2 linked regions of the Schizosaccharomyces pombe genome follow. The protein of the gene in region 1 interacts with the protein of each later gene in a biochemical or structural test. Each region holds a gene or a part of one and is shown in the gene's direction. Other genes may lie near its edges.

Evidence for each region.
Region 2: of the proteins of cyk3 (region 1) and kin1, one has a biochemical effect on the other in vitro, tested with the Schizosaccharomyces pombe proteins (one study listed by BioGRID).

What each region holds. Positions count from the first base shown.
Region 1 is NC_003424.3:1,976,112-1,984,204, reverse strand, and holds cyk3 (cytokinesis protein Cyk3), read left to right. Parts: upstream 1-2,055; 5' UTR 2,056-2,097; coding exon 2,098-2,164; exon of another isoform or gene 2,165-2,247; coding exon 2,248-4,841; 3' UTR 4,842-5,143; coding exon of another isoform or gene 5,144-5,566; 3' UTR 5,567-5,612; coding exon of another isoform or gene 5,613-6,554; 3' UTR 6,555-6,603; coding exon of another isoform or gene 6,604-6,649; 3' UTR 6,650-6,755; coding exon of another isoform or gene 6,756-6,801; 3' UTR 6,802-6,841; coding exon of another isoform or gene 6,842-6,943; 3' UTR 6,944-7,013; coding exon of another isoform or gene 7,014-7,137; 3' UTR 7,138-7,198; coding exon of another isoform or gene 7,199-7,303; 3' UTR 7,304-7,451; downstream 7,452-8,093. Other genes in the region: SPOM_SPAC9G1.07 (Schizosaccharomyces specific protein), read right to left, coding at 1-1,023; actin cortical patch component Aip1, read right to left, coding at 5,144-5,566, 5,613-6,554, 6,604-6,649, 6,756-6,801, 6,842-6,943, 7,014-7,137, 7,199-7,303; translocase Oxa101, read right to left, coding at 7,655-7,999, 8,076-8,093. UniProt on the Schizosaccharomyces pombe protein: Involved in cytokinesis.
Region 2 is NC_003423.3:2,692,247-2,698,762, forward strand, and holds kin1 (MARK/PAR-1 kinase Kin1), read left to right. Parts: upstream 1-2,085; 5' UTR 2,086-2,921; coding exon 2,922-5,597; 3' UTR 5,598-5,882; downstream 5,883-6,516. Other genes in the region: emp46 (lectin family glycoprotein receptor), read right to left, coding at 1-926; ATP-dependent RNA helicase Mak5, read right to left, coding at 6,043-6,516. UniProt on the Schizosaccharomyces pombe protein: Has a role in establishing the characteristic rod cell shape. Important for cell polarity and is involved in directing growth to the cell ends.

The sequences.
Region 1 (8,093 bases):
ATCAACGGAAGCAGAAGCTAAATTCGATGAGTTTTTCGAGGTATCTTGGGAACTGACCCATGAACCCCATTCAAAATTATCAGAGGTTGGATCCGGGGAAAGAGACGTTGATGAATTTTTTTTCTTCGTTTCTCTAATTTTTTCTTCAGAGTCAAGTTTAGCGATTGATGAATGTTCTTCGACTTCATCAACTTTTTTACGATCCAAACTTAGTGGTGATTTTGGAACAACTTCATCCTCTTTATTTATTGAAATTGTAGAACAACTGTTGCTTTCCCTCTCAATCAATTTGACTGGGGAAGAAAGGAAAGTATTTGCAGATAATTTGTGATCCTGTTTAACAGCAACTGTATTATTTAAAAGAGCCGTAGAAGAAGAATAATCCTTGGGAATTTCATTCGATGATAAATTAGAAAAATCAAGTATATCTGAAGGAACATTTATACTGGAAATCTTGGTCGTAGAAAAATTAGATAAAGGAGACTGTTCCGGTAACAAAATATTTTTGTCATTGATGGGCGGTGTGACAGGTGAATTGGTATAGCTTGCTGTTTTCCTTTTCTGCTTCTGATAAGCTGTTGACCAACAAAAAAGCACATTGCTTTTTCGATTTACATTAGACCGTTCTTGGTTCCATAAAGTCATATGTTCTTTAAGTAAACGACTAATGGTTCCTTGTTTTAGTTCTCCTAAACTTTTCTCATTGTATCCTAAGCGGATTAATTGTCTAAAATTGGTTTCCGAGGTAGCTGTAATACCTATATAATCTTTGGATGCCAATGAAATCCGTTTAGGAGGCTTGACAACGCCAAATGTGTAATCCAACTTTTCATTAATATCTTTCAAATTAAATGTGTCAAGATTGAGAGCATTTTCTTTCCAGACTGATGCCTCCATTGAAAAACTGACATCGTTAGTAATTGAGGGAATTGCTGAATTCGAGTTGGATATATTTTCACTACCCCATGCATTATGAGGATTAGAGGCGTTCGAAAAACTAACAGAGTTCAGCAAATCATCCATATAAATCACATTCCAGTTCTTTAAGTTGTAGATTCTCAATTTAATAATATATGAGTGGATAAAAAAAACGTAGGTGCCATCAACTTCGGGTTAAAAAGAAAACAAAAAGAGCCTTAACTATACTTCTTTTATAAAAGGAACCTTTTTAGAGTATTAGTATAAATGCTCAAGATGAGTTGAAAGCGGTTCGGCTAGGGTAAGCGACTTAAGCCACCACATCGTGTGCAACGCAAGTAGGCAACTTAAATCCGTTCAACGTATTTAGTGTGAAATTAAAAATAAAATAAACTCAATTAAATTTCCGGAAGAAGAATAAATTTTATAAGTAATCATTTTAAAATAGGACAGAGTTTTTTAACAAATTTTAAGCTAGTAAACAATTAATCTAATACTCTGGCGAAAGTTGCTAGCTTTATTAAAGAGGAATCTCATATGGACTGAAGCATCGTGCAAATTTTTGAAAATTACATTTGGTAAATTAAAACCTAGATTATTTCATCTAAATAATATGGCTTAAAGTGCGCATAAATATGGATGCTGGTTTCAAATCATTTGAATATTATGTCTTGTGCAAAAAGCTCTTTAAAAAAATTACAGAAGTGCAAATGTACCACATATTTCAAGTTAAAATGAACCCTTCTAGGACTTCTAACAATTTTAGTAAATTTTCTCACTAAATCAATTATAATCTACATGAAATGAATCTAACATCGCACTCTTTATCGTTAAAGAATGTTTCATGGTAGCCAAATATCTTTCTTTTTTTAATTTTCCTAAAATGAAATTCTAGTATGGTTGAATTTATTACCGATCTGCATTTTATCGAGTATTATTGAAAATATTTCCATTTTTTAATTGTGCGCTAAGTATATAAGTCGCGTTATTAGAAAAATTATGATGTACTCGGTTAATTGAGCTCTAAAAAAAAAACAAAGTTATTAGTGTACTTCGCTTAAATAAGAATCTTATCTTCACATTCATACACAACTCACATCACGTTACGGAACTTCCGCTCCGCTCGTTTTTTATATTAACTACCAAAGACTATAATTTCATTCCTTTAAGCCTTCAGGAATGTCCATTCCTAAACAACTACCATGCATGGTACGTGCTCTGTATGCATGGCCAGGTGAACGTGAAGGTTCGTAACATTTAAAGATGCTGTTAAGTAACGTCGCAATTATTGATGTAAAGTTTAAAAAATATATATTAATGTGTTTTCAGGTGATTTAAAATTTACAGAAGGAGATTTAATAGAATGCTTAAGCATAGGTGATGGAAAATGGTGGATTGGCAGACATATCAATACTAATACACAAGGGATATTTCCTAGCAACTTTGTTCACTGTTTAGATATTCCCACGGTACGACCTGGCAGTTCTATGTCAAGAACTAGCGCTTCTAGCTTTAGATATTCTTCTCCTCAAAAAAGCTCTATAGACACCCCAATAACTTCATCTGATCAAGGTCTAACTCCTGATCTCGTTGGAAGCTCAAATGCTTTGAATAAACCAACCCGAGAGAGTGACTCACTAAAACACCAAAAAAGTCACCCCATGCTCAATTCGCTAGGATCAAGTCTGTCACTTAAGAAAAGCGTATCTAGACCGCCATCTTCAATGTCTCGTACCAACTTAGATGTCTCTTCCAGATGGGACAATACAGCCGATAACGACTCTCAGATTGATGCCCAAGATTTAAGTAGATCTACACCTTCCCCTTTAAGAAGTGCTATGGAAAATGTTCTTCAATCGTTAAATGCAATGGGCAAAAAAAGTTTTAGTCGAGCGAATTCCCCTCTTTTAAGACTTACGAAAAGCACTACAACTAGCAAAGAAACGGACTTCATTCCTGTCCCTCCTGCACATGGGTCCACAAGTATGACTTCTCGATCCAAGCTGGATGATTCAACAGATAATTCGTCAAAACCAAGAACAAGTTTGCAACCAGGAGAATCACCTATGAAGTCTTCAAGAGATATTTCTAGAAAACCTTCCATGGCTTCATCAGTTTTATCTCCGTCTGATTATTTTCCGCAGCACAGGCGTTTTCAGAGTGCTCCCGCACCTATTCCCAGACCCGTTTCAACATTGATACCACTAACTCAAGTTCGGACCACCGCGTCGAATGTTATAAAGCCAAGACCGCAAACAACGGAGCGACCCTCAACTGCTCAATCGTTTAGAAAAGGTGGTGGATTTTTAAAAAAAACTTTCAAAAAGCTTTTGCGTCGTGGATCGTCAAAACGTAAGCCCAGTCTCCAACCAACTCCTCCGGTAAGTTATCCGGCGCACAATGTTCCTCAAAAAGGTGTTCGTCCTGCATCGCCTCATACATTAAAATCAGTAAAAGATGATTTGAAACGTACAAAGACATACACGAAAGCCGAGTTTGCGGCGAAACGGGAAGAAATCTTCAATAAGCTTTCGATGCCGGTATATGAACCATTGAAGGATCTCAGTGAATGTATTGGGAATGTTTTAGCCGACGGCGAGCCAGTGCAGTTCTCTGTAGGTACTAATATTCATAACATGAATTTTAGTGCTATTGATAAACAAATAAGGTCAATTATTCCACAACGTGTCCAGGTCAGTCCTGCTGTACTTGCAAAAAATTATTTAGCTCCAGGACAAACGACTGCGCTCGCTCAAATGAGAGCCGTCTTTATATATATTTCTGAACGTATTACGTTCACTAATCAAACTTTGGACAATGATGAATTACGCACAAGTACACAAGTAATTTCCGAAGGACAGGGAACTCCTTTTGAAGTTGCACTGTTGGTTAAAGAAATGTTGCAAGCACTAGATTTATGGTGTGAGGTTATCGAAGGATATCTTAAATCACCAGATGACATCTATTATACCAGAGATATTAATATAAATCATGCTTGGAATGTTGTTACATTTGACAATGAGGTTCGTCTAATTGATGCTAGTTTTGCCAGTCCAACACACCCACAGCAGGCCTTGAAATCCAGCAGCTCCAATGATTTTTATTTTTTAATGAAACCAAACGAGTGTATATTTACTCACGTACCTGAGAATCCGGACCAGCAGTTTATAATGCCAGATTTGTCTATGCCTATAGTAATGGCATTACCTTGGGTATCGTCTGTGTATTTTACTTTAGGATTGAAGTTGCGTAAATTCAATACCAGTATTCTACATTTAAATGACCTTGAAGTTTTACAAATCGAATTTTTAGCTCCAAAGGATATTGAATGCGTTGCTGAAGTTGATGCTCTATCTGCTTTAGCACCTACTGCTGATGTTTCACAGTGTTATAAATACACGTTAACACAGGCTTTCTGGGAAACTCCGGATATTCGTGTTATGAGAGTTAAAGCTGTTATGCCTGCTAATAATCGTGCTGCGGTGCTAAGGATATACGCTGGTCGCTTAGGAGTCTCTAGTCCCGTGAGGACTGCACCTCATCCTATGGCAATGTCTCTTCCATTTGTACATCATGGCAAAAATAAAGCTCTAGAGTTTGTGACTCGTCATCCTGTACCACATTGTCCATCGGTTGATTTGTATATTAATTCCCCCCAATGTGGTACATTGCATTCTGGTGTTGAATACAAATTTAATGTTTCGGCCTATGCCTGCCAGCCATCTACCTCCATTAGCAATACCAGATTAGCAATACAGACCCCGACGGGAAACATTGTGCGTTTAAGAGAAGAACGATCTGGAAATGGCGTTATTTTTTTCAGCCTTTCCTTAACAATTAATGAAACAGGAGAATACAGAGCTTTAATTTTGGCTGAAAAGATAGGAAGATGGGTAGTCTATGCAACCTGGCAGGCGGTTTAAATAATTTCAAATCTTGCGACTTTATCCTATAAATTTTCCTATAAATAATGTCTGTTCTGTGTAATATTGAAGGTTGATGTTTACAACTAAGTCATTATTCATTTAATGTTTTTAATATATATCTATTACTATTGGAATCGTGATGTCCAAGCTTAACTGTATTCCCTTTGTTTCTTAATTTTAATGATTATAATAATGAGAAAGTTTTAACTATTAGATATGGCATCAGAAAAGCTAACAGTATCTTACAAAAAAAATTTTTTTATTAAAATCTTGCAAAAAATGAGAATTGTACTACGAATTCAAAAGGTCACTGACCATACTTTGATTGCAGCATCACTTCCAGTACTTAAAAGCTCATTTTCAGAAACCCATTCAACTTGGGTAGCTCCCAATGAGTGAGCATTTTTCATCGCAATATATTTCATGGGTCGTTCTACTGAATAAATGTGAATGTTGGTGTCTAATGAAGCGGTCGCTAAATGAGTAGATTTTGCATTCCACGACATTCCTAGAATACGGCCAGTGTGAAACGCCCAGCGAGAAGTAATAACTTCCCGAGAATTGGCGTCATAAAGTACAACCTTCCCTGAGGCATCACCACATGCAAGATACTTTCCATCCGGAGAGTAAGCTAAGCATGTAATCGGTGCTGTTGAATCTTTGCATTGAGCTACTTCACAAAGCTCACCTTTTTCAAGGGTATGGATGTATACACAACAGTCCTAAAAAAGTCAATAATTATATGGAAATTAAAATATGGTATCATACCTCCCCTCCAACGCAAAATTCACTTTTTAAGGGATGCGAAGCAACTGCGCTAGGCTGATAAATAGTCTTGGCTGTAGAAACACCAGTAAGACTACGGAGGACTTGGATATCCGAAACCGTTACCAAAATCAAACAGTCTTCAACCGAGCATACGCCAATAGGTTGGTAGCCAGTTGGAAAAACATTATCTTTCGCGAAACACCCTTGCTTGATATCGATTACCCTTAACGTGTCATCCATGCCAATGGTGATAACATGGTCATCAGCCATTATCATTTGCATGACTTGATTGGTATGACTTTCACCAACCAAAGGGAATGCTTTCTGTTTGCCGATATCCCATGAAAGAACAGTACCATCATATGAGGCAGTATAAAAATGGGTAGCATCAGGTGAAAGTGTAGCGGCAGTGATAGAGCGTTGGTGTCCGTAAATTGTATCAATTACCTTACAGTCCGAAGGATTTAGATATGTTAAGTTTCCCTTTGAGTTAACAACTATTATTAGGTCTTTAGTTGGCCAAACTGTTCCAACTAATTGCTTCTTGTCCGACGAAAGCCATTCGCGAATTAGGGAGCCGGTATTAGCATCCCATATTTTGCAACTGTAACCCGCAGAAGATGTGACAAATTGAGATGAATCTGGAGACCAAGAAATAGAGAAAATGGACCCCTTATGAGCATCAATTTCATAGACCTGATCTCCTGTTTTCCCGTCGAAAACATAAACCTTACCGTCGGCTCCAGCTGAAGCAAATCTTTCATCGTTAGGAGAGTAACGGACATCATAAACGAATTTGGAGTGAACGCGTAAACTTCGGTTGAATCTATAAGGAGTACCGTGAAAAAAATTGATGGAATTATCATCAGATGCAGTAGCAGCACGGAACGGTCTACTCTTGCGCAAAGAAACAGCATTCACTACGCTCGAATGTCCAAAAATCTGTAACCGTTAACATTTTAAGGAAGTTGGAGACTAATAAAACCCTTACTTCACCAACAGAATTACCAGAGTCAGCGGTGAACGCGTGTCCATATCTGTTAAAAGTAAGATTAGCAAGAGTCAACAAATATTGGAATTTTTGAAATTATGAGTAAATCCAATAATTTAACACATCCTTCGAAAACAATAGAAATCACTTACCGCTCTTTACCCTCACCAACAGCTATTATTCTCTGACTGTCTCCGTCTTTTCATCAATTAGCATATTGAAACTTGAACAGGCTTACCCCAGTCTAAATCAGTAATTCGTCCGCTAATAGCAGTAACTTGGTTCTTTAAAATTTTATCTTCTCCAGCACAATCCCATATGCGGACGTTACCTTGATTGTCTATAGTTGATCATTAGTAACGTTTAAAAATAAAAACTTAAGAAATAATAGCAATAATTAGCATTCGTACCGCCAGAAGCTACATAATATCCAGAAGGGCTAAATCGTGCTACAGTTGTAGGAGCAGTATGCTCATTATATTGAAAGCAGTTTTCCTGTTTCTCAATTTCACGAATTATTATCGCTTTGTTAGCCTAAAAACTATTTAGTAAATGTTCTTTAATCGACCAATTCATACGGATTCGACAAACTTACGGGATAAACAATCCTTTCACCTTTAAAATCAGTGCCAATTTTACAAGGCTGTGAAGGTTTTGTTGAAGGAACTGGCGCCCAAGTTGATTTTAACTGAGAAGACATTGCTCTGTTTTTAATTTATTGTAAGTAGCGAAGATGTGGTTCTATGCAGATGGAGCGTGCTACTAGGAGATATTTGACAATGAAACGAGCAACAGATTACCATATTAAAGAGGCGTATACTTTAGCAGTACATGTCATTGGAATATATGATTTATATAGGGATTAATTTTAATACTACCGTAGAAATCACTTTTTGCAACAATACACAGAAGAACGTTTTTATACTAATGCGGTCAAATAATAACCTAAAACAGTACAATATGACTTTAACGAACATGAATATCAAAATGAAAATTGATGAGTAATTAAAGAAGTAGATATCATGAAAAAAATTTAAGCAAAATTAAAATATCAGTTACTTTGCTTCTTTGAATTTTTCTTACTACGGTTAAGTTCCTTGAGCTTTTTATAATGAGAATTAGGTCGAATGGTTGAAGCTGAAGTAGTAGCAACAGCTCGTCTTGATACATCCTTCTGCAATTGCTCATACTGAGTTTTAAAACCGTCACGAACTCCTTTGTAAAACTCTTTTAAGGATTTAATAGGGTTTGTAATCAAAGTAAAGCCTGAAGGTTGCTTTTCTATTATTGATGGTAGCGGAGCGAAGCCAAGTTTACTTCGAACAACGGGATTTTTTAGAATATAACCTTGCACTATATTAAACAGACTGCTGGGTATCCAATACATAAATATTGCCTATTTGATCTTTGGTTAGTTATTCTTCTAAGATAAAGGCTTAAAACAGATTTGACTATTTTGAAAATTCACGTACGGCTGGAAGTTTAGCAGT
Region 2 (6,516 bases), on another chromosome or scaffold:
AATCTTTCACTTGGGAACTGTGAAGTAGAAGAAATATCGTTCAAACGCTCCAAAGCATTAGTCAACGCAAAATGCAAAGAGTCCATCTTCTGGCGTTGAGATTCTACTAGATTAAAAAGCTTTGCCAAATCAGCCTTTATTGCGTTCAAACCTTCAGTGTCAATAACTGTTTGAGGACTAGTATTGTCACCGACGCTTTGCTTTGTATTGGAGGTAGGATTCAAATTTTCATTATTAGATGTATCTGGAGGAAGTATATTGAGGTTCGATAAAGCCACCAAGTCTTTTGCAGACGTAGATTGAGAGGAAACTCCAAAATAATACCCCTGAGGCAAAATGACATCTTTTACTTGAAAGCAGGGCTTGTCATTCACAAATAACTCTAATCCAGATTGGTCACCGTATTTGAGAATAATATTGTTCAAAGCCTCAGGAGAGCTCTCAATGGTACATTTAGCAAAGGGCGGAAGATCGGGGTCAGTAAACTGAGCAAGTTCAAAACTTTTATCATTCAAATAGCCACGAACAAAGATTTTACCAGTTTGATCGATTTCCTGGGAAATCAGAAGGCCGTCCCACTTATCGGAGGCGCCAAAAACTGGACCTTCTGAACCGACAGCGCTTGTATACCAAATCGCAAAAAAGGTGTTTTCGTTCTCTGATACATGAGCTACAAATGAAGTCGATAGCTGCCAGCCAACTTGTCGTAAAACGCTAGTTGACCAAAGGGATCCAGAGCGTGCTTCATTACTGTCTTTGCTGGTTAAGTAAACGTAACCTGAATCTTCATCCACACTACCGTACCATTTCCATTCAACGGGAATGGCGTTACTTAGTGAATGAAGTTGCAAAAACTGAGATTTAGGGACGGCGTAAGCCAATGTACAACAAAACGATAATACATGAAACAGGGAGCAAAACTTCATTTTTCTTTACTTCGTTTAAAAATAGATAAATGAATATTGTGAAAGTATGCCAAAAAAAAGAGAGAGAAACAGAAATTGAAAGAAAGGATTATTTGGTTAAGACCAGGGACTTTTTGCTCTATTACTTATAGAAAAAGATTACTCCAGTCCTTAAATCCTTTAGTTACCGGGAACCAAAGTAAATAGATGTATTTTTGGTTTATTAGTTACCGTCAGAAAGTTTATCTACAAAATTCCGTAAATGTGAAATGACAACAACCGCCAACTCAATCGTAGTAAATAAGGATGATATTTCGAAAGTCACCTAACGAGTAATGTTAGACTTCCCTATATTTAAACATGGCAGCTTTCTGAGCAACTATGGATGTTGCAGTAAAATTGTATATGAATTGGTTTAATTGCTCGAAAGCATTGTTTGTGTGCAATGCAACTTTTCAATGCGAAGTGTATTTAATGATTATAACAAGCAATAAATGTAGTAAAAAAGACCATTTCTCTACTCCACATCAGAGACAGAAACCAGTTTTTGTTTTTTTTTAAATTGTGACTAAAAAAACAAAAAAACAATCAATGAATTAAGAGTACCGTCATGGTCGATGACTAATTTTAGTCGTTAAGAAAATTAATTGATTGTTCCATCGAAATAAATTTCATAAGCTTAAGAGACATGAAAAATACTTAAAACAAAACTCTAGAGTAACTTTAATATTTCGTTAATTTAAAAAGTTTTGACTTGGCACGATAATTCAGATGTATGAATAATGTAAAAACACACGCGTATTTGTTCATTTATGAGGAAACTGTGATGGTGATTTATTCATTGTATTTTTGAATACGCATATATTTAAAAGATTTAAGTATACAATTTCAATTGAGTCGTTTGCTGCATACTAAATCCATTTTTAGATACCATGTTTTTCTCATAACCATAAAGGAGCATGCTTGCGCCTCGGTATATAGCAGTCGTGATCTTTTAAAAGGGTGTGTGGGAAAGGAAAATACAAGTCGATAAATACATGAAATAGATTAAAAAAATAAAAGTTTAAGAAAATAGTAACTGGTAGGCTATTTTGAAGTCTTATCTCTATATAAATCGATACTAAACGTAATGAATGCTTTAGCATGGTGCATTCATCCATGACATCTCCACTGCTGCTTTAACCATTCCGTACAACAACAAAGCCAGTGCATTTGGGTTAGGGAATCCTTCCTTTACAGTTTCTGGCTTCATTTCCTTTTTTTGTAATAATTTAATTGAAAGGAAAGAATTGAAGAGATATTGAATGCCTTAGGGGACGTAGCATAGATTTGCAGTGGTTGTTAGACAGGAAACAAATTGCGGGAAAATCTCAAAGTCGTTTGACTTTCTGTTGCTCAATAAAAGAAACAGGAGACCTGTTTATACTAGAATTTCTCAAACAAGAGTTTTTACGACCGAAAATTATCGAAACAACTATATTTTTTGGTCGTTTATCTTGTTCATCGAAAAAGCTAAGCCGGTTTACCTGTTCTTCTTCCATCTTCCTGCTGCTCTAATAATCTCATTTGTTATCTTTTCAAGCTTTGCTTATTTGTTTTGATTGTAGAAACGGCTTTATCGGCTTGTGAGCATCCTTCTTTTCACAAACAATATTGATTGACTACTAATCCGTTTCTAAGCCACGAGCATTCTTGTAACTAGATCGCTTTGCTTATTTGTTTTCATCTCGTACAAGAATTTCTTCGTCCCTTTATTGTTTTCTTTTTAATTTTTCGGATTTCACGCTTTTTCGTAATATTTGTCATCTTAGGTTCGCAAGGAAACTGGTGCCACGATTTACGATAACAAAGTATTTTTTGTCAACCAAGATTTACACGTTTGTATTATTTTCACAAAGTTATTATTTTATTACATTACTCAGTCGGCTTATTTTGAGTTGATTGCTAATTTTTGCCTCTCAAAAGTTCAAGCAGTAATTTTATATCTGCTTTTTTGTCTGTTGATCCCATTTCCTGATGGAGTACCGTACCAATAACGTACCCGTCGGTAATGAGACAAAGTCTGCCGCTTTAAATGCGTTGCCGAAAATTAAAATATCTGACTCGCCCAACCGTCATCACAACCTGGTGGATGCTTTTATGCAATCTCCTTCTTATTCTACACAACCAAAATCCGCTGTAGAGCCTCTGGGTTTATCTTTTTCTCCTGGGTATATTTCTCCTTCTTCTCAGTCTCCACATCATGGCCCCGTAAGGTCTCCATCAAGTCGAAAACCGCTACCAGCATCTCCTTCTCGTACGCGGGATCATAGCCTGCGAGTACCTGTATCTGGGCATTCTTATAGCGCTGACGAGAAGCCTCGTGAAAGAAGAAAAGTCATAGGCAATTATGTACTAGGTAAAACCATTGGGGCTGGTAGCATGGGGAAAGTTAAAGTTGCGCATCATTTAAAAACAGGTGAACAGTTTGCCATTAAAATAGTTACCCGTCTTCATCCAGACATAACGAAGGCAAAAGCTGCTGCTTCTGCTGAGGCTACTAAGGCAGCACAATCAGAAAAAAACAAGGAAATTCGTACTGTTCGCGAAGCTGCCTTATCTACTTTGCTCCGTCATCCGTATATTTGCGAGGCAAGAGATGTTTATATTACTAATAGTCATTATTATATGGTCTTTGAATTTGTCGACGGTGGTCAAATGCTGGATTATATTATTTCACATGGAAAATTAAAAGAAAAGCAAGCTCGAAAATTTGTGCGTCAAATTGGAAGTGCGCTGAGTTATTTGCATCAAAACTCTGTGGTGCACAGAGATCTAAAAATTGAAAATATTTTAATTTCGAAGACCGGTGACATCAAAATTATCGATTTTGGTCTTTCAAATTTGTATCGACGTCAGTCTCGCTTGCGCACGTTTTGTGGTTCATTATATTTTGCTGCTCCAGAACTTTTGAATGCTCAACCGTACATTGGTCCAGAGGTAGACGTTTGGAGTTTTGGAATAGTACTTTACGTTCTTGTTTGCGGAAAAGTGCCATTTGATGATCAAAATATGTCTGCCTTGCATGCGAAAATAAAAAAAGGTACCGTCGAGTATCCAAGTTATTTAAGTAGTGATTGTAAAGGTTTACTATCAAGAATGTTGGTTACTGATCCTCTCAAGCGAGCCACGCTTGAAGAAGTTTTGAACCATCCTTGGATGATTCGCAATTATGAAGGACCTCCAGCTTCGTTTGCTCCGGAAAGATCTCCGATCACTCTTCCATTAGATCCTGAAATTATTAGGGAAATGAACGGTTTTGATTTTGGACCACCAGAAAAAATTGTTCGTGAATTAACTAAGGTAATTAGCAGTGAAGCTTATCAATCTTTAGCTAAAACTGGATTTTATTCCGGGCCTAATTCAGCTGACAAGAAAAAGTCTTTCTTTGAATTCCGGATTAGGCATGCTGCGCATGATATCGAGAATCCAATATTACCATCTCTTTCAATGAACACTGATATTTATGATGCGTTTCATCCTCTCATTTCAATTTATTATTTAGTTTCTGAACGTCGTGTATATGAAAAAGGTGGAAATTGGAATAGGATAGCAAAAACACCAGTTTCTAGCGTTCCTTCTTCGCCAGTTCAGCCAACTAGTTATAATCGTACTTTACCGCCAATGCCGGAAGTTGTTGCCTACAAAGGCGACGAAGAATCACCTCGTGTTTCTCGAAACACATCACTTGCACGCAGAAAGCCTTTGCCTGATACGGAATCTCACTCCCCTTCTCCTTCAGCAACCTCCTCCATCAAAAAGAATCCATCCAGCATTTTTAGAAGGTTTTCATCACGCCGAAAACAAAATAAGTCTTCTACATCTACTCTTCAAATTAGTGCTCCCCTTGAGACCTCACAATCTCCACCAACACCTCGAACCAAGCCGTCTCACAAGCCCCCAGTATCTTACAAGAATAAACTTGTTACCCAATCTGCTATTGGAAGATCAACCTCTGTTCGTGAGGGCCGCTATGCTGGTATCTCCAGTCAGATGGATTCACTAAACATGGATTCAACAGGGCCCTCTGCATCCAATATGGCAAATGCACCTCCGTCGGTTCGTAATAATCGTGTACTTAATCCTCGTGGTGCTTCCTTGGGGCATGGGCGGATGTCAACTTCTACGACCAACCGCCAAAAGCAAATCCTTAATGAAACGATGGGCAATCCGGTGGACAAGAACTCTACTTCCCCATCCAAATCTACGGATAAATTGGATCCTATAAAGCCTGTTTTCCTTAAAGGCTTGTTCAGTGTTTCCACTACATCGACTAAAAGTACTGAGTCAATTCAACGAGATCTTATTCGGGTAATGGGCATGCTTGATATTGAGTATAAAGAGATCAAGGGTGGTTATGCATGTCTATATAAACCTCAGGGTATCCGAACCCCTACAAAATCGACTTCTGTTCATACACGACGTAAGCCTTCTTATGGCTCTAATTCTACCACTGATTCTTATGGATCGGTGCCGGACACAGTCCCATTAGATGACAATGGTGAGTCGCCTGCCTCTAACCTTGCCTTTGAAATATATATTGTGAAAGTCCCTATACTCTCTCTTCGTGGCGTTTCTTTTCATCGAATTAGTGGAAACTCATGGCAATATAAGACATTGGCTAGTCGTATTCTTAACGAATTAAAATTGTGATTGACTATTAAAGCTGCATACTTTTTTGAAATTATTTATTTCACTTCATTTTACGTTATGACCACCTAATTAGTGTTTATGGTTTTTAATACTAAGACCGCTTCAGGTTGAACTATATTAGACGTTGAGCTTTTTTAGAGACGAGAAACTAGACCTCTAATGCTCTTGCCTGTGAAAGCAAACAGATGCCAGAGGCATGTAAAGTCAACGTGTAAATGCACCCTCGTTCGCTTATGTTTAAGCCAGATACATAAGGCTACTATAATTAATGATATATCTTATAGTAATTCGTTCACTTATATAGTCTAATACGACGTTTTTGTTGATACTTATCTAGCAGTAATATTATTATTAACCCATAACTATAAAATACCAAAAAACCATTGTATAAAAACCTAAATGAAAACCCGTGCTATATGAAAAGTAGCTAAGTAAAAACCCTTTTTTACTTCTTCCTTTTTTGCAGAACTTCCAAAGCACTAATTGAGTCCATTCCGATAATATTATCATGAACTTCTTCGTTGGCTAATTTTTCAGCCATATTTACAAGACCGCTCGTCAAGTATCTACCAGAAAATCCTGTTCTTATTTTTTCGTGTAATAAGGGAGCAAGCTCTGAGCGAAGATGCGCTATCTGTTTCTTATTCTTACTAGATTCAGATTTTTTTGGCAAATCCGGATCCTCATCATCAGAACTTTCAACTCCCAATTCCTGAGCCATCGATTTTAACCAAGCTTCCTCACGTCCCACTCTTCCGTCTTTTCTAGTGAGATTTACAATTTTATGTGCTAAGACGACCCTCGTTTTTAAAATGTCCAATATTGACATATCCACAGGAAAATTAATAAAGGTCTCGATTTTCTTTTTCAACCGATAACATAGTCGTTTCAGCTGTGACAGTTCTTTAGGACCACACAT